Linked DNA regions of Sus scrofa. The protein of the gene in region 1 interacts with the protein of each later gene in a pairwise test. Links are inferred from orthologs where the notes say so. Each region holds a gene or a part of one and is shown in the gene's direction. Other genes may lie near its edges.

Region 1 (4,290 bases):
TGCGGTGTTTGCTGCAGCTACTGCAATGTGGGTACCCACTGTGCCAGGCCAGGATTCAACCTGCGTTCCAGAGATGGCACTGATTCTGTTGTGCCACAGTAGGAACGCCTATATTTCGGTCCTTTTTTTTTTTTTTTTTTTTTTTTTGTCTTTTTGTCTTTTTCCGGCTGCATCCATGGCACATGGAGGTTCCCAGGCTAGGGGTCCAATCAGAGCTGTAGCTGCTGGTCTATGCCAGAACCACAGCAACACCAGATCTGAGCCACGTCTTTGACCTACACCACAGCTCACGTAATGCCAGATCCTTAACCCACTGAGCAAGGCCAGGGATCAAACCCAGGACCTCATGGATGCTAGTTGGGTTTGTTAACTGCTGAGCCATGAGGGGAACTCCTGTATTTTGGTTCTTATGACTAGTGTTGCTATGACCATCGTGCACAGGCTTTTGGTGTGGACATACGTTTTCAATGCCCCGGGCGTATACCTAGGCGGGACATCACTGGGGCATGTGTTCACATTTTGAGAACCTGCCAGACTGTTTTCCCCAGGAGTCCTCCCACTTTACATTCCCACCCACAGTGTATGACCGTTTCAAGGTTTCAATTTCTCCTTAACATCCCCGACACTTGTTATTGTCTGTCTTTTTGGTTTTAAGGAGTTATTATTTTTAGCCTCCTCCCCCGCCCTCACCCCAGGGATGCGGGGAGAGGGGGCTGCTTAGAGGATGTGGGGGAAGGGGAGGTAGGAGCTCTCCATTTCACCCTGAACCCGAAAGGGTCACCTCAGGACCCCCTGGAATGTCCTCTCCTTCACACACCCCCCTCGGGCGGGGCTGCTATAGGGGGCGATTATGAGGACCACTTGGGGTGGGAAAGGGCTTAACAGTTCCTGCTGGCCATCTGCCTCCAGGCAGGGGTTCCCTGGACACGCAGCCCTTTCCCGTCTGGCCCCGCCCTGAGACGTGGGCAGGGCGAGACCACGCCCCTTCCTGGGAGCCAGCTCCGCCCAATCTCCTCCCCTTAAGGCGCTCCGTCTCCCTGGGAAAAGAGGCAGACAGCCCGGGGCAGGGAGGTGGGGTGTGTGCGGGGGAGACATTGGTAGGAAGATGGCCAGGAAGGTGATGGCCCCGGACCCTGGAGCCCTGCACGCCCGAGTTCAGCCCTGCTCGACTTCTCAGGGGCTTCCATTCATTCTGAGCCAAAAGTGAACTGCCGCCCCCGCCCCAAACTGATGTAGCCTCAGGGACTGAGGGCCCGGGGGAGGCCGTCCTGGAGTGAAGGGACCGCCTGGCTGAAGACAGTCCCGGGGATGGAAGGGAGAAGGGACAGAACTGGACGGTTCTGGACCTGGGAGCGTCTCTCTTCTCAGGGCGAGGGTCTGGGGACCCTGGATGAAGTTGCGGTTGTGGTATTTCCAGAATAACTGTCCGGGTGCACAGAATAACACTCTGGTGGCGCAGAGTGAGGAGGATCTGCAAGTTCCAGGGTTAGGTGGAGTCTAAGGGCCCAGGATGACATTCTGGGAGGCGCAGAGTCTGGGTCCCTGGCATTAAGATGTGGGTGCACAGGAATTCCAGGGGTGCAGATTAGGTAAGGTCTAGGTGCGCAGGATGACATTTTTGGGTGCACAAACTGAGAGCCTGGGGGCTCCAGAGTGAGTTGGGGGCTTGACATCAGGGTCAATGCCCCAGGATCCTGTGCTAAGGGACCCTGGCCTGGCGCCGGGAGGCGGCTCCGGGCGGCGCCGCGGGGGACCGGGTGGGGCCTGTGGCCGGCCGGGGGCGGAGAAGCGGGGGTCGGGGTCCCTCCCCCTGGCGCGGGCTCAGGAATCCGCCGAGGGGCGGGCGGAGGCGCCGGGGTGGGCCGCGCCGCGGCAGGCGGGCGGGGGGCGCTTCCTGGGGCCGCGCGTCCAGGGAGCTGCGCTGTCCGCCTGTCCGTCTCCCGCAGGCACTACCGGAGCCAGCCGAGCCGCCGGAGCCGCGGGCCTCCGGGCCGTCACGGGCCCAAGTGAGTGGCCGTCCATGGGGGGAGGGCGCCAGCCAGAGTCTCGGCCGAGTCGGCGGCGTCAGCACCGAGCCAGAGGCCTGCGCTCCTCGGCCCGAGCCACTGGGGGACCGGGCGGGGGCGGGGCGACCCGGGGCGGGTGGGCCCTGAACCCCGGCCTGCGTGATCAGTCGACCCCCGGCCCTGGGAGGCTCCGAAGCCCCAGACACAGTCCCGGGCGGGTGGTGTCGGGGACCAGGTCTCTGAGTCCTGGTTCGGGCAATGGGGGATCCGTGGCCCAGACGCCCTGACCCCCACTCACTACCTCCCAGCCCCAGGATGCTCCCCTTCGCCTCCTGCCTCCCCGGGTCTCTACTGCTCTGGACGCTGCTGCTGTTGCTCTTGGGGGCAGCGTCTCCCCAGGATTCGGAGGAGCCCGACAGCTACACGGTGGGGACAGTGGAGCCCCTGGCCTGGGCTGGGCTGGGCAGGGACACCAAGACCAGGATCCTGGGGTGGCTGCTGCTGGGGCAGGTTCTCCCCTCCCCTGGTCCGTGGAGCAGCTGGAGCTGTTGTTTGGAGCAGGCGGGGAGGGTGGCCAAGCTTGGGCTCTGGTCTTGGCCTGGTCAGTTAGAGGAGAGGGGGTGACCACTGGCCACCTCTGGTCCCCCTGTAGGAATGCACAGATGGCTATGAGTGGGACCCCGACAGCCAGCACTGCCGGGGTGAGTATGCTTGGAGCACCAGGAAGTGGATTGCAACTCCAGCACGGAGAGCTGCTGTGGGAGTCAGTGGCCTGTCCCCTGCCCAGCTCTGCCTGGCCGTGGCCAGCTCTGGTTCTCAGGGGGCCAGCTTAGCTGGGGGTGGAGAAGCCATCCAGGCCCCTCCCTCTCAGAAAAACATGGGACAGCCTCCTCCCACCCCCCAGGAGTCCAGAGACCAACAGGGCGCTGCCCAGAGGCATGGTTCCTGGCCACCTCCTCTAATCACTTTCCCACCCAGCTTCGTGCCATCGTGACCTGGGAGGGCAGCGTCTGCGGGGGTGGGCGAGAAGGCCTGCACCTCACTCTTGGGCTGAGTTGGGACCAGGGCTCTGGGGCGGCATAGAGACCCTCTTGGGGATAAGAGAATGGAAGTGAGTGGAGCAAGAGCCAGCCTGCCACCAGCCCTGGTGGCACTGGGAAGTGGTCCTGGGCAGGCAGCCTTAGCTGAGGAGAGTGGGAAGGCCCTTCCTGGGTCACGCAGCTTAGAGGAGGCTGCACTGGGCTCCTGCCGCCCACCCCCTCCGTGGCCAGCCCAGGAGACTGGCTGTGCCCAGCAGGCCCCTCTCCGCAGATGTCAATGAATGCCTGACCATCCCCGAGGCCTGCAAGGGGGAAATGAAATGTATCAACCACTACGGGGGCTACTTGTGCCTGCCCCGCTCGGCGGCTGTCATCAATGACCTGCATGGCGAGGGACCACCACCACCAGTGTCCCCTGCTGAACACGCCACCCCCTGCCTACCAGGCTATGAACCGGATGAGCAAGAGAACTGCGTGGGTGAGTGAGGGTCGGTTGCCCTGGTGCTGAGGCTTCCAATCCTTCTATCAAGTGTCTATCACTGCATTTTAAAAACTCACAGCTCATGTTCCTCCCTGGCTCAAAAGCTTCCTCGGGGGAGTTCCCGTCGTGGCGCAGTGGTTAACGAATCCGACTAGGAACCATGAGGTTGCGGGTTCGGTCCCTGCCCTTGCTCAGTGGGTTAAAGATCCGGCGTTGCCGTGAGCTGTGGTGTAGGTTGCAGACGCAGCTCGGATCCCGCGTTGCTGTGGCTCTGGCGTCGTAGGCCGGTGGCTACAGCCCCAATTCAACCCCTAGCCTGGGAACCTCCATATGCCGCGGAAGTGGCCCAAGAAATAGCAACAACAACAAAAAAGACAAAATAAATAAATAAATAAATAAAATAAATAAATAAAAAAATAAAAAGCTTCCTCGGGGCCGCTGGCATAATAATATCCAGCCCCTTGTCCAGATCCTCACTGTGGGGGGCCTGCCCAGCTCCCGTCCCATGCCCAGCCAGCTTCCGGGATCCTCCTTTTGATCACTGCAGGTGCACCGCGGGAGCGCTCGCTGTCAGCCTCTTCCCCTTTCCTGGTTTGCACCCCACTCCTGGGTGCTATAGGCCTCAGAAGAAGGTTCTGGAATCAATCAGTGTTCCTGGGAGCATGGACAGGGCCTTATTTCCTCTGCTTCCCTGACATGGGGTCTCCCAGGGTAGGGGTGCCGATATCCCAGGGACTCCAGACCAGCAGATTCTTATTTGTGC
Region 2 (3,455 bases), on another chromosome or scaffold:
TTGACCAAGAGCAAGCTGGGAACTCCCTGCCATGTTCAACAGATCTTTCCCACAGCTCAGGATGGGCACGTGCTGGCACGTATGCTTCCTTTAGAGCGGAGCGACTGAGAAGCAGAGCAGAGACTCTGCTTCCTACTGGGATCTTACAGCCTGGGGACCCTGACCTCATCTGACCACCTAACAGAATTTTCCCAACACAGAAACAGTTTAGAGAAACAAAGAGCCTCGTTCAGATGACAGTAGTCAAGCCACAGTTAGCACAGTGAGGGGACCACCCGGCACGCTGTCACTCGATCCTCTCAGTGAAGCGCATTAGAACTCACATCATTAAAAAGCCCAAGGGAGAGTTCTGTTGTGGCTCAGTGGTAACAATCTGACTTGTATCTATGAGGATGCAGGCTCGATCCCTGGCCTCGCTCAGTGGGTTAAGGATCTGGCGTTGCCATGAGTGACTCGGATCTTGCGTTGCTGTGGCTGTGGTGTAGGCCAGCAGCTGTAGCTCCAATTTGACCCCTAGCCTGGGAACTTACATATGTTGCATGTGCAGCCCTTAAAAAAAAAATAAAGAAAAAATAAAAAGACATAAGATTTTTTAAAATCTCACATATTTTTTCAGAAAGGGAACTGGAGCAGGGGTTGGTCCCTTTTAACTGGAGTTAAACGACCAGAATTTTTAGGAGGGAGCTTTAAAAATGTTGAGACTTCTTAGAGCAGGAATTATGCATTCTGCAGGAGATGGGGCCTGAGACTTTCTCTGTGAAAAAAGGATGTCTTTGCTGAGACGCTTTTGGGAATCACTGCATTATTATTTAAAATTTTTTTTTTTTGGTCTTTTGTCCTTTTAGGGCCACACCTGTGGCATATGGAGGTTCCCAGGCTAGGGGTCCAACTGGAGCTGTAGCAGCTAGCCTATGCCACAGCTACAGCAACACCAGATCCGAGCCGTGTCTGTAAACTACACCACAACTCACGACAACGCTGGATCCTTAACCCACTGAGCAAGGCCAGGGATCGAACCCACAACCTCATGGTTCCTAGTTGGATTTGTTTCCACTGCGCCACGACAGGAACTCATAAAATTTTTAAATTACAGTTGATTTACAGTTTTGTGCCAGTTTCTGCTATACAGCAAAGTGATATATATATATATATATATATATACACACACACACACATTCTTTTTTTTATTCTTTTCCATCTTGGCCCGGGGGATCACTGTTACTGCCTGTTCTTAGAGAGCTATCATGCAAATTCGCACTGTAGCATTTCTAATATATTTTTTAAACTGTAGACACTATCAGACTTGTATTTTATCCAATGTTCTTAAGTTTCTTAGACTTTAGAGTCTTTTCTTATATAATCCCTATTACATGGCACAGAATCAGTGCTCGGAGAAAATTCCTCTGGAAATGCTGATACAGAGCAGGTATGGCAAAAGATTTTAACTGAGGAGTTCCCACTCTGGCACTGTGGGCTAAGAATCTGACTGCAGTGGCTCAGGTTGCTGCAGAGGTGAGGGTTTGATCCCTGGCCCAGTGCTGTGGGCTAAAAGATCTCATGTGGTGTTGCCACAGCTGTGGCTCAGATTCAGTTCCTGGCCCGAGAACTTCCATATGCTGCGGGTGTGGCCATAAAAAAAAAAAAAAGATTTTTACCAAATGTTAACTAAGATTGTAGTGATGTAGTCTAGGACCTTATGTTGGGAAGGATTCTGAGGGTCAACTGGGCCATTTTTGCTAATGATCTCTGCTTTGGGTGGAGAAGGAGGGGATGCTGGTCAGCAGCCCTGATCTAGCGCACATTTAGTTTTATTTTCTCTGGCTTAAGAATGTCCTGGGAGGCGCTAGTTCCACCCATGTTGCTGCAAATGGCATTATTTTCTTTTTTTTATGGCTGAGTAGTAGAGACTCTCATACTAAGTGAAATAAGTCAGAAAGACAAAGACAAATACCATAGGATTTCACTTCTATCTGGAATCTAATATACGGCACAAATGAACCTTTCCACGGAAAAGAAAATCATGGACTTGGAGAACAGACTTGTGGTTGCCAAGGGGGAGGGAGTGGGGATGGACTGGGAATCTGGGGTTAATAGATGCAAATTATTGCCTTTGGAGTGGATAAGCAATGAGATCCCGCTGTATAGCACAGGGAATATATCTAGTTACTTATGACGGAATATGGGAGGGTAATGGGAGAAAAAAGAATGCATACATGTATGTGTGACTGGGTCACCTTGCTGTACAGTTGAAAACCGACAGAACAGGGGCGTTCCCGTGGTGGCGCAGTGGTTAACGAATCCGACTAGGAACCATGAGGTTGCGGGTTCGGTCCCTGCCCTTGCTCAGTGGGTTAAGGATCTGGCGTTGCCGTGAGCTGTGGTGTAGGTTGCAGACGTGGCTCGGATCCCGCATTGCTATGGCTCTGGCGTAGGCTGGTGGCTACAGCTCCGATTCGACCCCTAGCCTGGGAACCTCCATATGCAGTGGGAGCGGCCCAAGAAATGGCAAAAAGACAAAAAAATATATATATATAAAATAAATTAAAAAAAAAAGAAAACTGACAGAACACTGTAAACCAGCTATAATGGAAAAAATAAAAATCATTTAAAATTTAAAAAAAGCCAAGGCTCTGTGTGTGTGTGTGTGTGTGTGTGTGTGTGTGTGTGTAAATAAAATCTCCTGGGAGATATATATAGATATGTAGATATAGATATAGATATCTAGTATATATATAGTACCTTCTGGGTTTGACTGACTGGTTTGAATCTTGCTCCAGCAAGAATCTGGATCCAGCATGGTGAGTCCTGGGTCCTGACGTCTTTGCTTTGCTCAGGTTCACAGGGTGTTCCCTAATGGGTTGGCCTCCCAGGAAGGGACTATTCAGAAGGGCAATGAAGTGCTTTCCATCAACGGCAAGTCTCTCAAAGGGGCCACACACAACGATGCCCTGGCCATCCTGCGTCAAGCTCGGGACCCCAGACAAGCCGTGATTGTCACAAGGAAGCCAACCCTGGAGGCCTCGCCTGACCTCAACTCCTCCACAGATTCTGCAGCTTCCGTCTCTGTGGCCAGTGACATCTCCATAGACTCCAGTGAGTTCTCTGTGCCTGATGGGAGCCCCGTGGACCCTCTCATCTTCAGATACGTGAGGGAAGCTGCTGGGTGACATGAGGGCTGCCTTGCATGCTGCTCAGATGTGTCTGGGTTCATCTGTGCACGGGCCCAAGTTCACTGGCCGCATCAGCCAGGCTTGCGTGATGTGCCCTGTCTGTAGGCTGGAGAAGAGGGCGTCCCTAACAAAACCCCTGTGTTTTTCTCAGCAGCAGAGGCCACAGTCTGCACGGTGACCCTGGAGAAGACCTCTGCGGGGCTGGGCTTCAGCCTGGAAGGAGGGAAGGGCTCCCTGCACGGAGACAAGCCTCTGACGGTTAACAGGATCTTCAGAGGTAGGCTG
Region 3 (4,106 bases), on another chromosome or scaffold:
AAGCTCTTCAGGAACCAATGGCTCTAATTCTGCACCTAGTGAAAACCCAAGTCCCACAGCAGGAACCACTGAACCTGGACACCAGCAGTTTATCCAGCAAATGCTGCAGGCTCTTGCTGGAGTGAATCCTCAGGTAATGATTTTTAATGTTAGAAATTTGGAAATTTCAAAAAAATAAATACATTAAAAAGAAAAAGTGGCTGTGCCTTTAGGTTTAGTCTATAGTAGAAAGCACATTCTTAAGGATATTGATTCTAAAAAACAGGCATTACGAAAGTTGTTAACTTTGGTACTGTATTAGACACTAAAGGAAATGTTGTAGTTGTAGGGAAGAAAGAAGTGATTTGCCTTAATTTTTGGAAGTTGCCTTTAAAAATGCATTCTTTTCTGGAGTCCCTGTTTGGAAATTATTTGAAATAGGTTATATTTTATAAATACAAGTTTGTCAGAAAAGAACAGAAACTTCATTGTCCCAGATACCTCTTGAACAATTATATTCTGTCTAGTCATTGTACTTTGAGTTTTAAAAAGTCCTAACTGCCTCACCCACCCACGAGTGCCTCCTGTGGTAACTTGTATCACTTTTATACACCTCACAAATGGCTGAAAAAGGTGAACTAATGATGTTCTTACATCTGGAAACATTTATTTACTAAGAATATGCCATTATACAGATGGTTGCTAGTTCATACTTACTACAGTAGCTTGTCCTTAAACTTCTGTGGGGCGAAACACAATAAACAGGTCAGAGTTTTATCTTATGTAAGTATTTGTATTCCCAATATAGAGCATAACTTGCTCAGTAAATATTCTTGGAATAAATTTAAAAAAACGATGTCATGTATTAGACAAAGTAGTTATCTAAGGTGAGCAATCTACAGACCTCACTATTATCAGGTTGCCCAAAATTGGTGATTTATGTATTTTTTTTTTTCTTAACATCATTTCTGAAAAAGATGCAATTGAACAGTCAGAGTATAATCTGTGCATCTGAAATAGGAACTCTTTTCTGAACACTTAACTAGCCAATAGAGAAATCTATATTCTGAGTCACATTAAAACTTAGAATTTTATACATCAAGACACTGGCTTTTGTAATTACCCAGTTGGTCACTAGCTACAAAAGAAATAATCTAATGCTAAACTACTTGCATACCTCTTTTTTTTTTTTTTTTTTTTTTTTTGGCCTCGCCTGTGGCATACAGAAGTTCGTGGGCCAGGGATTGAACTGGCTCCACAGCAGTGACAACACCAGATCCTTAACCTACTGCACCACAATTTTGCATGCCTTTAAACATACTTGTTAAAGTTTTCCTGAATGTTCTATGAGCTTCTTAAGTGAATCTAAAATAATGGTTGACGTTTATTAAGCTTTTTTTAAAAGCAGAGTTATGTGTTCTATTTGACATAATTGTTTAGGTATAGACTGTTTAAAGTGATAACTGGATTTTAAATACGTCGAAGGTTTCAAAAGAGAGGCCAGTGCTTTTATAGCTCAGTAGACTAGGATATGTTATTTTGAAAAGCAGTTTAAAAATTTAAAAGATTATTTTGGTGTGACATGGACCGATTTTCCTTAAGAGTTTTGGTTTGTTTTTTTCTTAACAGCTACAGAATCCAGAAGTCAGATTTCAACAGCAACTGGAACAGCTCAGTGCAATGGGATTTTTGAACCGTGAAGCAAATTTGCAAGCGCTAATAGCAACAGGAGGTGATATCAATGCGGCTATTGAAAGGTTACTGGGCTCACAGCCGTCATAGCAGCCTTTCTGTATCTTGAAAAAATGTAATTTATTTTTGATAACGGCTCTTAAATCTTTAAAATACCCGCTTTATTTCATTTTGACTCTTGGAATTCTGTGCTGTTATAAACAAACCCAATATGATGCATTTTAAGGTGGAGTGCAGTAAGATGTGTGGGTTTCTCTGTGTTTTTTTTGTTTGTTTGTTTTTTTCTGTTTTCCTGGAACAGTGGGAATCAATGCTTTTTCATTTAAGGCTACTGCATGCATCAAACACTTCTGCATTGTAATTTTTAAAAAATATATCACCTTTTATAGTTGGGTGAACAGAATTTTTGTCCAGCATCTGTCCAGTTTATTTGCTTTTTAAACATTAGCCTATGGTAGTAATTTATGTAGAATAAAAGCATTAAAAAGAAGCAAATCATTTGCGCTCTATAATTTGTGGTACAATATCGCTTATTGTGACTTTGGCATGTATTTTTGCAAACAAAAATGCTGTAAGATTTATACCACTGACAGTTTTTGCTTTATTTGTATACAGTATATGTATGCACATTTGGAACTGCATTTCTAGAAACATACTGCAGTAGATTATCTGAGCAGAACATCTGCAACTGAAAAAGTATAGATAAGGAAATAACTTTAAAGCTGAGTATTTCCTAATTGTGTAAGATCTTACAGCATCTTTGATAAACATCTTTCAGCAAAAGTACACATTAGGTTTGTTGAAAATATAGTAGAAAAGCTGATTCTGGTTATCTCTTTAAGGACGTTTAATTGTATAGACATCATAATGTAACATTGTCGCAACATTCACAGATTGTAAATTATCTTAATCTTTGTGCAGACTGAAGGAGCACTTAGTATAACCCAAAAGTGCATTCGCCTAGGACTTTTCAGCTTTTCCCATAGGTAGTTTAACAGGCATTACAATTTGTAATTGAAATGTTGCTTTCACTGAAAGTGTCTTGATGTTTCATTTATTTTTAATCGCCATATAAAAATAGAACTATCTTTTGGGTTTATCATTTTTCTCATGCACAGGCAATACATGAATTTAAAATGATTTGTGAGCCACTTGTTTCTGAAGTGTTTTGGTAGTTCTATTAAGAAATAGTTAAATATTGTGCTTTTCAGAGCCTGAGAGAAGGGGAATTTGGGGGGTGGGGAGGGGATCTATCCTGGATTGGGCCAGCCTAAATAATACTGGCAACCAAGATTCTGTTAGGATTTCTGTGCATATAGTGTAGTAAAGAAGTATCATTCAAGGGTGAAAACAGAGCCGTTTTAACAATGTTGAGTACATTTGGCTGTTCTACAGCTTTTTCCTTCCTTCCCCAAAGAAGTCGTTTGCCTAACTCTCAAACTGTTGGGGTGGTACATTCCTTTAGGACCAATTAAAACATAACTTTTGGGTCAGTAATATATTTGGCTGACTCTGATGCAGTATTCTCTTAGGTCATTATATTCTCTCATGTACAGTTACAGGAAATTAAAATGTTAAAGTAACCTAAAATGAATTCAGACCAGTAAAATCAAGGGAAATAAAGTTGAATTCCATTACTTCTGTAAGTTGCTTGCTATTAAAAAAAAGTAAAGAGGCCAGGTTGCCCACCGTTTTGTGCACTGTTGTGACACTTTCCCCAGGAAGAAAACCATGTACAAAGGTCGAGGTGGAGGCATGACGAAGAGGAAGTTGTTAAGGATGGTATTCATGTGTCTCTGTGCTCTCTTGCCTTATGCCTCAGTACGGTTGAAAAACTTGTGTACTGGCCAATGGTGGTATACAGTATGGGATAGTGTCATAACCAATTTGACAATTTATTAATCACAAAATAACAATAAATCTCTAGCTTTTACACTTGTTTGTCTTGCTTTTTTTGTAGAAAGAAAAAGATGTCTTGCTCAAACTGTCTTTTAAAGACTATTGAAGTTGATTTACCTTAGACTTTATCACACTTGAGATTATTTTTTGTTAATTTTTTTTTGTTTGCAATTGAAATATGTGCATGTATACCATATAGTGTGTTAAAAAGAGCCAACAGAGAAGTTAGGTGGCCTGGGCTTTGTTCACTCCTTTTGGTATGTGATTAGTTAATTCGCCTTTTGAATCAGGGCATTAGGATTTCTTCACTGTGGAAAGTGGTGGTGAGGCCTGTATACAACACTCACTAAAGGGTCTCCTGAGTACCTTTTAATTGTTGTACTGGTGTGATTTTGTTTTTTTGTTTTTGTTTGTAGTATGTTCATCTTAGATCTGAATTATCTTTTTAAGGAGTTCAAACTCTGTACAATTCTTAAAAGCACAAAAAAGAATCTTGAAATACTGTAAATTGTTCTCATGTTAGTTTATTACAAAAT
Region 4 (3,500 bases), on another chromosome or scaffold:
GCATACTTCTGCTGTTGCCTCCAAAGAGGACTCGTGGACCCTATTTAAACCACCCCCAGTTTTTCCAGTGGACAATAGCAGTGCTAAAATAGTTCCTAAAATAAGTTATGCAAGCAAAGTTAAGGAAAACCTCAACAAAACTGTACAGAACTCTTCCGTGTCACCATCTTCATCTTCATCTTCATCTTCTTCGTCATCAGCTGGGGAAACTCAGACCCAACCTTCAAGTCGATTATCCCAGGTCCCTATGTCAGCGCTGAAATCTGTTACTTCGGCCAACTTTTCTAATGGGCCAGTTTTAGCAGGGACTGATGCAAGTGTATATTCTCCAGGGGGTCAGCCACTGCTAACTACTGCTGCTAATACTCTAGCACCCATCTCCTCTGGGGCTGATTCAGTTCTCCAAGACATGAGTCTGACTTCAGCAGCTGTTGAACAAATTAAGTCCAGCCTTTTTATCTACCCTTCAAATATGCAAACTGTGCTGTTGAGCACAGCACAAGTGGATCTACCCTCTCAGACAGATCAGCAAAACCTGGGGGATATCTTCCAGAATCAATGGGGTTTATCATTTATCAATGAGCCCAGTGCTGGCCCTGAGACTGTTATTGGGAAATCATCAGATCATAAAGTGATGGAGGTGACATTTCAAGGGGAATATCCTGCCACTTTGGTTTCACAGGGTGCTGAAATAATCCCCTCAGGAACTGAGCATCCTGTGTTTCCCAAGGCTTATGAGCTGGAAAAACGGACTAGTCCTCAAGTTCTGGGTAGCATTCTAAAATCTGGGACTACTAGTGAGAGTGGAGCCTTATCCTTGGAACCCAGTCATATAGGTGACCTGCAAAAAGCAGACACCAGTAGTCAAGGTGCTTTAGTGTTTCTCTCAAAGGACTATGAGATAGAAAATCAAAATCCTCTGGCGTCTCCTACGAACACTTTGTTAGGCTCCGCCAAAGAACAGAGATACCAGAGAGGCCTAGAAAGGAATGATAGCTGGGGTTCTTTTGACCTGAGGGCTGCTATTGTATATCACACTAAAGGTAACTCATCTGTTTCTATACGAAGATTCTTACTGATTATTTTAACATACATTTATTGGCTGTTCTATTAAGGGTGAATTTTTGAAGTTATGATGAGCTTAAGAATTCCATAGTTTAGTTGAGAATAACAATGTGGATTAGCAGCTGATACCAAACTCTAAGCTCCGGGTCTTTGTAAATACTATGGTAAAAGTATAAATTTTTTCTTGAAACAGATGTTCCCTCTCCTTTGCTTTTTATACTATATACTTCTTTATTAGAGAGCTCACTTTGATAGTTCTCATTTCCTTAAAACGAGCAAGAGCAGTATTTTAGAGGAGTCCAAAGAGATGGCGGGTCGATTTTTTTTCTCTTATTTAATCAAACTACAATGGCAAGTACAATTAGCATTGTAGGGACCAGGCTTTTGGAGTCTGCACTTTTTTTCATAGCCTCAAAGCCAGCATTAAAAAGGAATTGGATAGGAGTTCCTATCCTGGCACAGTGGAAATAATCTGACTAGGAACCATGAGGTTGCAGGTTCGATCCCTGGCCTTGCTCAGTGGGTTAAGGATTAGGCATTGCCATGAGCTGTGGTGTAGGTTGCAGACGTGGCTCAGATCTGGCATTGCTGTGGTGTAGGCCTGCAGCCATAGCTCTGATTAGACCCCTAGCCTGGGAACCTTCATACGCTGTGAGTGTGGTCCTAAAAAGCAAAAAAAAAAAAAAAAAGGAATTTGATGTCTTTAAAATTCCATGTTAATAGCTTTCTTAGGATACGATTTATTCAAGTCTTAAAAACTTGCTGTATGGCATAACTAGTTTAAATCCTTTAAAACAATGTTTTTTTGTGTCATGAATGTTGACATGATTTTACAAGCACCTCTTCACTTTCAAGAACAGTGGTTATCAGTTTTCCTTCTCAGTCTCCCCAACCTCCCCTAACAGCTCCATATGTGTGCATGCATGCACACCTAACATATAGTGCACGTATATATCGCTTTTTTAGCAACAGCTCAGGCAGTGATACGCAACTGCAGGGAAGAGGCAGCATGTTATCAGATAGTAGAGATGAGGTAATTATGTTTTCCCTGGAAGAATCACTGTCTCATAGATGAATAACAAAGCAATTCCTGTGATTTAAGCAAATTACCTGGTCTCCATACCTTTGTTTATCTGCAGACTAAGATGTTTAGTAAAATAGATAACCCTTTAAATTTTTTTGCTTTAAAAAATGGGAGTAAAGGAGTTCCCTGGTGGTGCAGCAGGTTAAGGATCTAGCATGGTCACTGCTGTGGCTCGGGTTTGTTTTTACTTTTCTCCAGCACTGCTCTTTGGAAGTAAATGTGAGTTAACCAGGAGCCAGATACTTTTAGGAGAGTTAGAGTAAAAAAATACTTAAGTTTCTTAAGACATTGCTTAATTAAAAGTTAAGTTCTGTCAGGGGAAGTTTATAGTGTTTTTGATGTTACTTTCTGTGCCATCTTCCCTCCAGAGATCATTATACTTTATTAAAGTATGTTATACTGGTGATGGTTGCCTGAGCCTGAGGATATCTGGTTGTCCCACAACCTGGAAAAATCCTGGGGCAAGTTGTTACTAGGTTCTTGGTTGGTGGTTTAATGTGTGATTATTATGGAGAAATGCAGGTCTTTTTAAATGGGACATTCCTATTTATCTTCAAGTATTCTGTATGCATTTGCCCTGTTGGTAAGCTAACTAAATATAAAATAAATCAGTGGTATTTAGTTAAACCAAATGCCCCTACCTAGATGCAGTTGTGTTTAGTTTTGCTGATGTTACTGAAAGATTTGCTTTAGTAAAGTCTTATCACGTTGAGTTGTGTAGTTGAACATTACTGGGATGAAATTGGTATTGTTTGTTTTTTCCTCCCTAGAACAAAAACAAATAATAGTTCAGTTAGGTCCCAGAGTGGCAGTTCTTTGAATTCCTGCTGAATGTAGATTGGTCCATTAGGTCACTAATTTTTCCTTTATTTAAATTTGCTTTGAGTCATAGTCTTTTGAGGATAGAAAGATCTTTTTCTTCAACGAAGGCTTGCCTCTTTTTTTTTTTAAGTTTTCTTAGGTGCTAAAAGGTAATAACCAATAGGAATTATTGGAATATCCTTTAAAAGAACACCTCGTATTTTTTTGTTGGTGGCTTAGTGTGGTCTTTAAATGTTTAAAGTAATTTCTTAGTAAGTTGAATGAAGTTAGGCTTAGAATGGAAAGTTCTGTGCATACTTGCTGACTTCGAAAATGAGCTGTTTAGCAACTTTATTTATGCATTATGTCAGTTTAATAGTAATGGTACATTTTTTAGATGAAACATTAATTACTTGCAGCCTTAAACATTACAGCAGATTTAAAAAAATTTGAATTCAGTTTACTTGATAAGAAATGAAGATACAGTGAGGCATTAAAAAAAAACTGATGGGAATTCTTGTTTTGGGGATTTTCTTTTACAACTTTTGAT
Region 5 (3,500 bases), on another chromosome or scaffold:
CTCTCCCTGGTGGATGAATTACAGGGCTCCTTGCTGCTTCGGGCAGGGACTTTCAAAGGCCCTGCTGCTCAATCACCTTGACAGCCCTCCTGTGGCTCCCTCTGCCTCGGTCAAGCTCTGAGGAGGAGGCAGACCCATCTGGAGTTTGCAGGTCCAGCCAGGCCTTTGGATGGAGAACTGTGATCTTGTGACAAAAGGAGTTGAGCCGCTTTCCAGGCTTCGCAGGGTTCTTTTGAGAGGCGTCACAGAGGTGATGCTGGCCCAGAGGTGTGTTCTAGGAACGTGGCTTTGACACATGAAAGGCATTCGCCGCCTGCCCCAGACGACTTTTCTGTACCTGCCAGAAGACCCATCCATAGGATGACCATCACCCTGTCCTCTCTGTTTTCACCTGTGACCATCACCACACGGGGGCGCTTTCACGATTTACAACGCCCCTTAAAACGTTTTTAGCATCAGAGGAGAATAAATGTTTCTTTCATCCTGATTCAGCCAGATGCCATTCAGGGGAAAAAAAAAAAAAAATCTCCTTGACTCCTTTTCACAAGGTATCGCTTTATCTGGCCAAAATATCATAGAAGATAGCCGGGCGATGCGTCTCCTCCTCCTGAGCGTGGTGGCGTCACTGACTTCATTCTTAGAAACCACGTTGGACGTGCTTCACGCACGCAACCGACGGCTCTCTGTGCTTTGCATGTCAACACCTTACCCCCTCGTCCCTTCTCTCTCCCCCTCACCCCCTCCCTCCCTTTCCCAGCAGGTCTCACCAGCGACACAACAGATGCAGCCCACCCAGACGATACAGCCGCCCCAGCCCACAGGGGGGCGCCGGCGAAGGGTGGTGGATGAGGATCCCGACGAAAGGCGGAGGAAATTTCTGGAACGGAACCGGGCCGCCGCCACCCGCTGCAGACAGAAGAGGAAGGTCTGGGTGATGTCACTGGAAAAGAAAGCAGAAGAACTCACCCAGACAAACATGCAGCTTCAGGTGCAGGCCACTGTCTCTCGCCCCACACTCAAAGGCCCTGTGTACAGTTGGCATGTCCTGCCCCGCAGGCGCTTGTTGACCTAAGTAAGGCCACCCGTTAGCCCACAGAGCAACTGCAGGCTTACTCCCCAAGCTTGATGAATTCTGAGACACTCTGCCAAACAAGACAACTGTTCAGTTTTAAAGCAATCTCTTCTGGGGCGGGAGACTCTGCCCAACTAAGTTGTAAGACTGGCAGCAGAAGCTTTGGTCAGAGGTTCAAACTCTTGTTCAGCACCTATGTGCTGTGTTTAACCTCGTTGGCTCTCAGTGTCCCCATGTGTAAAATAGGAATAATAGCCTCATAAAGTTATTGGGAGGAATAAATGAACTAACGTCTCCAAAGTCGTTGGCACAGTGCCTGGCACATCATAAATCCTCAACTGAAAGGCGATCCTTTATGTTCGCTGGATGAGGAGTTGCTTCAGTTTATACCAGATTATCTGTATTTTTGTTTAAGGGGGAGAGGGGAGTTTGTGTTTATTATTTTGTTCCATAAGAAAAGGCCTGTTTCCATCTCATTTCAAACTTGACAATATTCGACTTTTGCATGAGTTTTGCATTTCATGGGTGGCCCAATGGGGGGCATTTTATAACAAGGCCGTTTCTAGGAGTGTTTGAGAAACTCGAGGACCTCGGGCTTCTCCAAGCGGACTTCATGCCTCACAGATGATGCAGTTTAGGGCATTTGTTCTGATATGGAAAGGAGTGCATGGTTCACCAGCAAATGAAAAAGCAAGTATTAGATTATGCGAAGCAGTGTAGGGATAGCAGTAAAAAATGTGGATTATAACCCAGTACTTCCAGGAGCAGAGAGAGTGGCTAAAGAGTAGAGGGAAGAGGGCACAGAGTGCCCCAAACAGGGAGAATCTGCTCCTCAGTAGTTCATAGGTCACCTTCGCCCCTACCCCCTGTTGTCTGTGCATCCTTAGAAAGGAGCAGTGAGGGTGCCAAACCCACAACCCTTTGAATATTTCATTCTGTGACATTGGAATGGCCTTGGGGTGTTCAGTATACAAATGGAAAGTATACGAAGAACGTGTGGGCTATACATGGACCAACTGTCATAATTTATGAAGGTTGACTCCCCCCCCCACATTTATCATCTTTATATGACAGACATAAGAAAGAGCTGGGAAACCTCTATCGCAGACATGGGGGAAATAAGATCATTCCTTCCACTGGTGTGCATGCTTCATGAAGGTGGGGGCTATGTTTTGTTACCCTCTCCCCTGACCTCCTACCCTCCTTTTCTAGTGTCAGGTCTAGCATGGAAAGTTCCTGAGAGCCTGTATTCAATATCTATTTGTTGAATAAGTGAATGAGTTCTTGGACCCTCTGGAGGGTCCAAGAACTGGCTGCCTGACCACTTGGGCGAGGATGTGATTGAGGGAATCAAGCCGCAGGGGGATGGCGGGACTCAAACACCTCCGAAGCCTCTCTGACTTAAAAGTCTATAATTCTAGAATCTGGCAGGCATAGTAGTATGTGGGAAACTTTTAAGTAGACCACGAGTACACACTTTTAATATTAATAATCATATTTCAATGTTCATGTGTATCGCAAAGTGTAATTAGAACATCAGACCTTCAATTTCACAGGTATTTTTGGTAATGACCAGACTAAGTCATTAAAAAAATGAGTTAAGTTGTATAAACACGTTAAGTAAATAAAAGTCCTGGTGTATGTGACCCAGCAAATAATAACTGCAGTGGTTTTGTAATGACTGAAGTATGAGAACCTCTGGAACTTGCAGCCAGTTCCAAGGTCCACAAGAGGACCATGGACGGGTGTTGGTTTTCTTAATCTTGGCGCTACTATTTTGGGGCTCTAGAATTCTCTGTTGTCTCCTGCACATTGTAGATACTTAGCAGTATTCTTGACCTCTAGCCACTAGATATCAGTAGCACCTTCTACCCGAATCTCAAGTTGTGAGAACCAAAACGTCTCCTGACATTGCCAAATGTCCCCTCTAGGGGGCAGAATTACCCTCAATTGAGAATCACTGGCCTAGATGAAGGAGCCATGGGCAGCCAGCTGACATGGAGTCAGAGGCCGATACATTTTTAAATCAGTTTTAACTAAAATGAATCCCTGCAGAATGACTCTAGGGTATTGACTATCATTCTGGAGCATGAAGACAGGGAGGGGGTCATGGCAGAGAGCCAGGAAAAGTAAGGACGCTGGTTTACTTTGAGGTCAGAAGGTTCATGACTTGACATATGCATATGTTCTAGCTTTTACTTAACATGTCAGGTAAACATATGAGAACCTAACATATTGATTTTCACATCTAGAGCCAAATCAGCTAAGTTTAAGAGATGCTAGAATTATAGCTCCTGAATATCAGGGGGAAAAATAAGTTCTCTTTGGGCCGTTCAGCAGGCACCAATGTTTTGGTTGTTCAAGCCATGCCTGGGGAAGGGATGGTCTTCAAAAAGACTAAGTTGTTGGTGTCTTCCAACCACTGCTT
Region 6 (3,500 bases), on another chromosome or scaffold:
TTCATACGAATACTGATCTTAGATAGAAGAAAAGAGCCACAGAGATAGGCTTTCATAAAAAACATAAACTGATCAGAAGATCGGACAGACGCTAATGGATGGATGTGCAGAAGACCTGGGAGGAAAAATGAAAAGGATTTCCCAGAGGAGGTTTTGTTGTTGTTGTTTTGCCTTTTGCCTTTTGAGGGCCGCACCCGCGGCATATGGACATTCCCAGGCTAGGGGTCGAATCGGAGCTGGAGCTGCCGGCCTACACCACAGCTACGCGGGATCCGAGCCGTGTCTGCAACCTACACCACAGCTCAGGGCAACGCCAGAATCCTTAACCCACTGAGCGAGGCCAGGGATCGAACCCGCAGCCTCATGGTTCCTAGTCGGATTCCTTTCCACTGCGCCACGACGGGAACTCCAGAGGAGTTTTTATTCTCTGAAAAAGGCCAGTAAGCACAGAAGAAGCAAAAGAAGTTTTCGGGGACCCCCTCTGCCTCTTCTAGACCTTGACAATCCATACAGATGTATGGGTGTAACCGCCTGCTCTGCAAAGAAGCCTCTTTCTCAGGTAAAAATGTTTACCTGGTCTTAACATCTTCCCTCCAGGACCTTGGACGATCTTAACCTCCACGTGGGAACCACTGATCTAAACAACCACAGATTGGGGAGAAGAGAATGGAGAGGTTATACTTTTGAAATGCCATTTTTATTATCAGTGTATCTAAGGACGTCAAGAACTTTTTAATGATCTTTCCTCTCTGCACTATTATTCTCTGTGAGACGTGAGGGGAGAGGACAGCTTTCTTCTGGTTGAATGTTACCTCAAAGAAACAATATGTAACTTTTCTTAAACCATTGGCAAGAAATTGCACACACTTACTTACTTAGACTCTTTTTTAGGGCGCCACCAAAAGTTTGTCTGTTTCACGTGATAAAGTTATAGTGGTCTCTGGGTTGGTATATGAGAAGCTGTGCAGAAACGCCCTGCCCTGAAGCAATTCACAATCTTTATTGCTTTTAGATTTGGTAGCAGCTTTGTAGATAGACGGTGAGGGTTTGCCACTGGCCATAATACATTTTTTTAGAAATACAATCTGTAATGGGTAAGCTCATAGGATCTGGTTGGATTTTTTTTGGGGGGGGGGTCTTCTCTGTTTGTTTATGTACATACAAGTCAAGGTTTACTAGACAGTTTGGGATGGGAATCAGCAGCCCCAGAAATGTGGGGACTTCATCTGAAACGGTGATCATCCCTGAAAGCAGGAGGGTTGTTTGCTCTCTCCCTGAAGTCACTTCCCTGGATCTTGCCCCTTATTGTCATGAGCCACAAATTGGGGCAGGGGCGGGGGAGGGCAGGACTCTTGGCGTTGATGGTCTTATTCTGCACCCAGGCGCAGCATGGTGGTTCTGGTTCTAAACAGAATGGCGTGGCCCAGCGCATGTTGGTCACATGCACATCGATGTTTTGAGCCTCCATGGCTGTCATCACGACCTTCAGTCCCAAAGTCAGTGTCTCGGAAAGAGAAAACAGACATGCCCTTCCAAAAACAAGGGGAAAGGAAGAACTGCATTCTCTTGAAAGTTAAATTATAACTTTTTCTTTCTGTTTCTATGAAGAAGACTGTACTAATAAAACTGCCAATTTCTTTCAGGTGGGTGTACATGGCATTAGAATAGAATTCATCAATGAAAAAGGATCAAAACGCACCGCCACCTACCTACCGGAGGTTGCAAAGGAGCAAGGTCATTGTTGTACTTTATTTCATATGATCTGGTGAAGAATTGAAACAAATACACAAATTGAAATGCGCTATCTGACCTTGCAGTTTTATCTGATAATTGATCACTGTCAAATTAATGATAAGAAATGACTCTTCCCTCACTGCCACTGCAATGTCTGAATGAAATCGGTGACTTCACACAAAAGTTGCACCTCTGCACTAAAGTTTGACGGCAAAAACATACAAAAGTGTACTTTCAAAAAAAAAAGCAAAGATTTGTAAAAATTGAGTGTTGTTTTAGGCAGTGGTTTGCTATGAATTTGAGGTGCCATCTTCCCATATTCCACTGTACTCTAGCCTCGTGGCATAAATCAGCCTTTCGCTTGGCGGCCAGCCACGCAGTTCATTGTCAGTATCAAATGTTTCCTTCTTAGCTGGTTCCCATTACTTCCTGTGCTGCCGTTACGATCGTAGGTTTCCCATGAAGATTAGGAGCATTGAGAAAATATGAACCATTTTTAGTGTTTTACATGTTCCTAATCAAACTTTTTTTCCGTTTTACCGCCGTAGCACACACCTTTATGAGTTACCACTGCCACACAAAATAACATTTCACTCTGCACTGTCCTCTCCTTTCCACCCACTGCTAAATTCTGGTGTCAGGTTAGCTCAAAGCAATGTCTCTTCTTTATCTCATGGAGCGTTTCCTCTCATCAGAAAGCATTTGTACTTCGTTTTCCCATATCTGTTTCATGTAAATGTGAGATGTATAACTGCCAAATTTAATATCATTAAATCCCCCCCACACCCCCAAACGAGAGAGTCAGTCTTTCAAGCAGCTATCTGAAGATCTGGGTTGCTTTAGAAAATGTCTTAATTCTGTAGTTGCATTCCGTGACTCTGTAAAGCAGACCTGAGAGGTAGAGGGCCTCGGGTATGAGTATCCATCCTGTGTCAGAAACAATAAAAACGCCTTTGAATACTGCACACAGATGCCCTTGATCGACTACAGAAGATGCTGCTAAACATGGCAATGACCATGAGTTAGTGTGGGAGTCCTAACTACTACTGCGTTGGCTCAGTGAGGCTTTTCCCTCCCTTTTAAAGCTGTCCCTGGTGGAGGAGGGCACAGCGTTTGTGGTTTGTTATGTGAGACACGACAGAGCCGTTACTGCCAGCCTCTTGGGTTCCTTGCCTCCGAATGCGGTTGAGATAAAGAGGCCAAGGTTGCTAGCCATCGGGGGTATAGCTAGGATATAAGGCGTACTGGGCGGTACCTGCTTCTGTACCCGATGCAGCCTTAGCTCTTCTGTGTGACTGTTTTTAGGACCAAAGGGGTTGATGGCATTTGGTGACAGTGATCGCTGACCTCTACAAAGTCATTTTGTATTTGACCACAGGTGCTCGTTACATGTGCTTGACTGGTATTTTATCTGGTCTACTCTCCACAGGATGGGACCATATTCAGACCATAGACTCCTTACTGAGGAAAGGAGGATACAAAGCTCCGATTACTAATGAATTCAGGAAAACCATAAAACTGACCAGGTACAGAAGCATTTCCTAGTGCAAGGCTGCCTAGTACATTTTGATGTGTATACCTGTAACCTTTTGATTTCTTTGGTCTCTCTAACTGTGCTTGCTTCTCTTTTCTGAAACAGAGTGGAAATGAATGGCTGGGCCATACTGAGGGGCGGATAACAGTGGAACCTCTGCTTGGCAGCAAAGCCTGTATGATGTATGGGCCCACCCAGCCCATCTTCACTCTGTGTGATTCCTCTGGCTTTG

Evidence for each region.
Region 2: the proteins of EFEMP2 (region 1) and IL16 interact in binary tests that used the Homo sapiens proteins (3 or more experiments, as listed by UniProt). The two-hybrid records come from large-scale screens. The link is inferred for Sus scrofa from reciprocal best matches to the Homo sapiens genes EFEMP2 and IL16.
Region 3: the proteins of EFEMP2 (region 1) and UBQLN1 interact in binary tests that used the Homo sapiens proteins (3 or more experiments, as listed by UniProt). The link is inferred for Sus scrofa from reciprocal best matches to the Homo sapiens genes EFEMP2 and UBQLN1.
Region 4: the proteins of EFEMP2 (region 1) and NUFIP2 interact in binary tests that used the Homo sapiens proteins (3 or more experiments, as listed by UniProt). The two-hybrid records come from large-scale screens. The link is inferred for Sus scrofa from reciprocal best matches to the Homo sapiens genes EFEMP2 and NUFIP2.
Region 5: the proteins of EFEMP2 (region 1) and CREB5 interact in binary tests that used the Homo sapiens proteins (3 or more experiments, as listed by UniProt). The two-hybrid records come from large-scale screens. The link is inferred for Sus scrofa from reciprocal best matches to the Homo sapiens genes EFEMP2 and CREB5.
Region 6: the proteins of EFEMP2 (region 1) and AMMECR1 interact in binary tests that used the Homo sapiens proteins (3 or more experiments, as listed by UniProt). The two-hybrid records come from large-scale screens. The link is inferred for Sus scrofa from reciprocal best matches to the Homo sapiens genes EFEMP2 and AMMECR1.

What each region holds. Positions count from the first base shown.
Region 1 is NC_010444.4:6,453,665-6,457,954, forward strand, and holds the start of EFEMP2 (EGF-containing fibulin-like extracellular matrix protein 2), read left to right. Parts: upstream 1-1,490; 5' UTR 1,491-1,589; intron 1,590-1,946; 5' UTR 1,947-2,006; intron 2,007-2,314; 5' UTR 2,315-2,321; coding exon 2,322-2,432; intron 2,433-2,658; coding exon 2,659-2,707; intron 2,708-3,317; coding exon 3,318-3,524; intron 3,525-4,290. UniProt on the Homo sapiens protein: Plays a crucial role in elastic fiber formation in tissue, and in the formation of ultrastructural connections between elastic laminae and smooth muscle cells in the aorta, therefore participates in terminal differentiation and maturation of smooth muscle cell (SMC) and in the mechanical properties and wall integrity maintenance of the aorta.
Region 2 is NC_010449.5:50,095,937-50,099,391, forward strand, and holds part of IL16 (pro-interleukin-16), read left to right. Parts: intron 1-2,834; coding exon 2,835-3,093; intron 3,094-3,321; coding exon 3,322-3,447; intron 3,448-3,455. UniProt on the Homo sapiens protein: Interleukin-16 stimulates a migratory response in CD4+ lymphocytes, monocytes, and eosinophils. Primes CD4+ T-cells for IL-2 and IL-15 responsiveness. Also induces T-lymphocyte expression of interleukin 2 receptor. Ligand for CD4.
Region 3 is NC_010452.4:31,313,916-31,318,021, forward strand, and holds the end of UBQLN1 (ubiquilin-1), read left to right. Parts: coding exon 1-133; intron 134-1,608; coding exon 1,609-1,761; 3' UTR 1,762-3,606; downstream 3,607-4,106. UniProt on the Homo sapiens protein: Plays an important role in the regulation of different protein degradation mechanisms and pathways including ubiquitin-proteasome system (UPS), autophagy and endoplasmic reticulum-associated protein degradation (ERAD) pathway.
Region 4 is NC_010454.4:45,496,588-45,500,087, reverse strand, and holds part of NUFIP2 (nuclear fragile X mental retardation-interacting protein 2), read left to right. Parts: coding exon 1-1,043; intron 1,044-3,500. UniProt on the Homo sapiens protein: Binds RNA.
Region 5 is NC_010460.4:43,851,977-43,855,476, reverse strand, and holds part of CREB5 (cyclic AMP-responsive element-binding protein 5), read left to right. Parts: intron 1-757; coding exon 758-988; intron 989-3,500. UniProt on the Homo sapiens protein: Binds to the cAMP response element and activates transcription.
Region 6 is NC_010461.5:90,312,208-90,315,707, reverse strand, and holds part of AMMECR1 (AMME syndrome candidate gene 1 protein), read left to right. Parts: intron 1-1,643; coding exon 1,644-1,734; intron 1,735-3,163; coding exon 3,164-3,260; intron 3,261-3,500.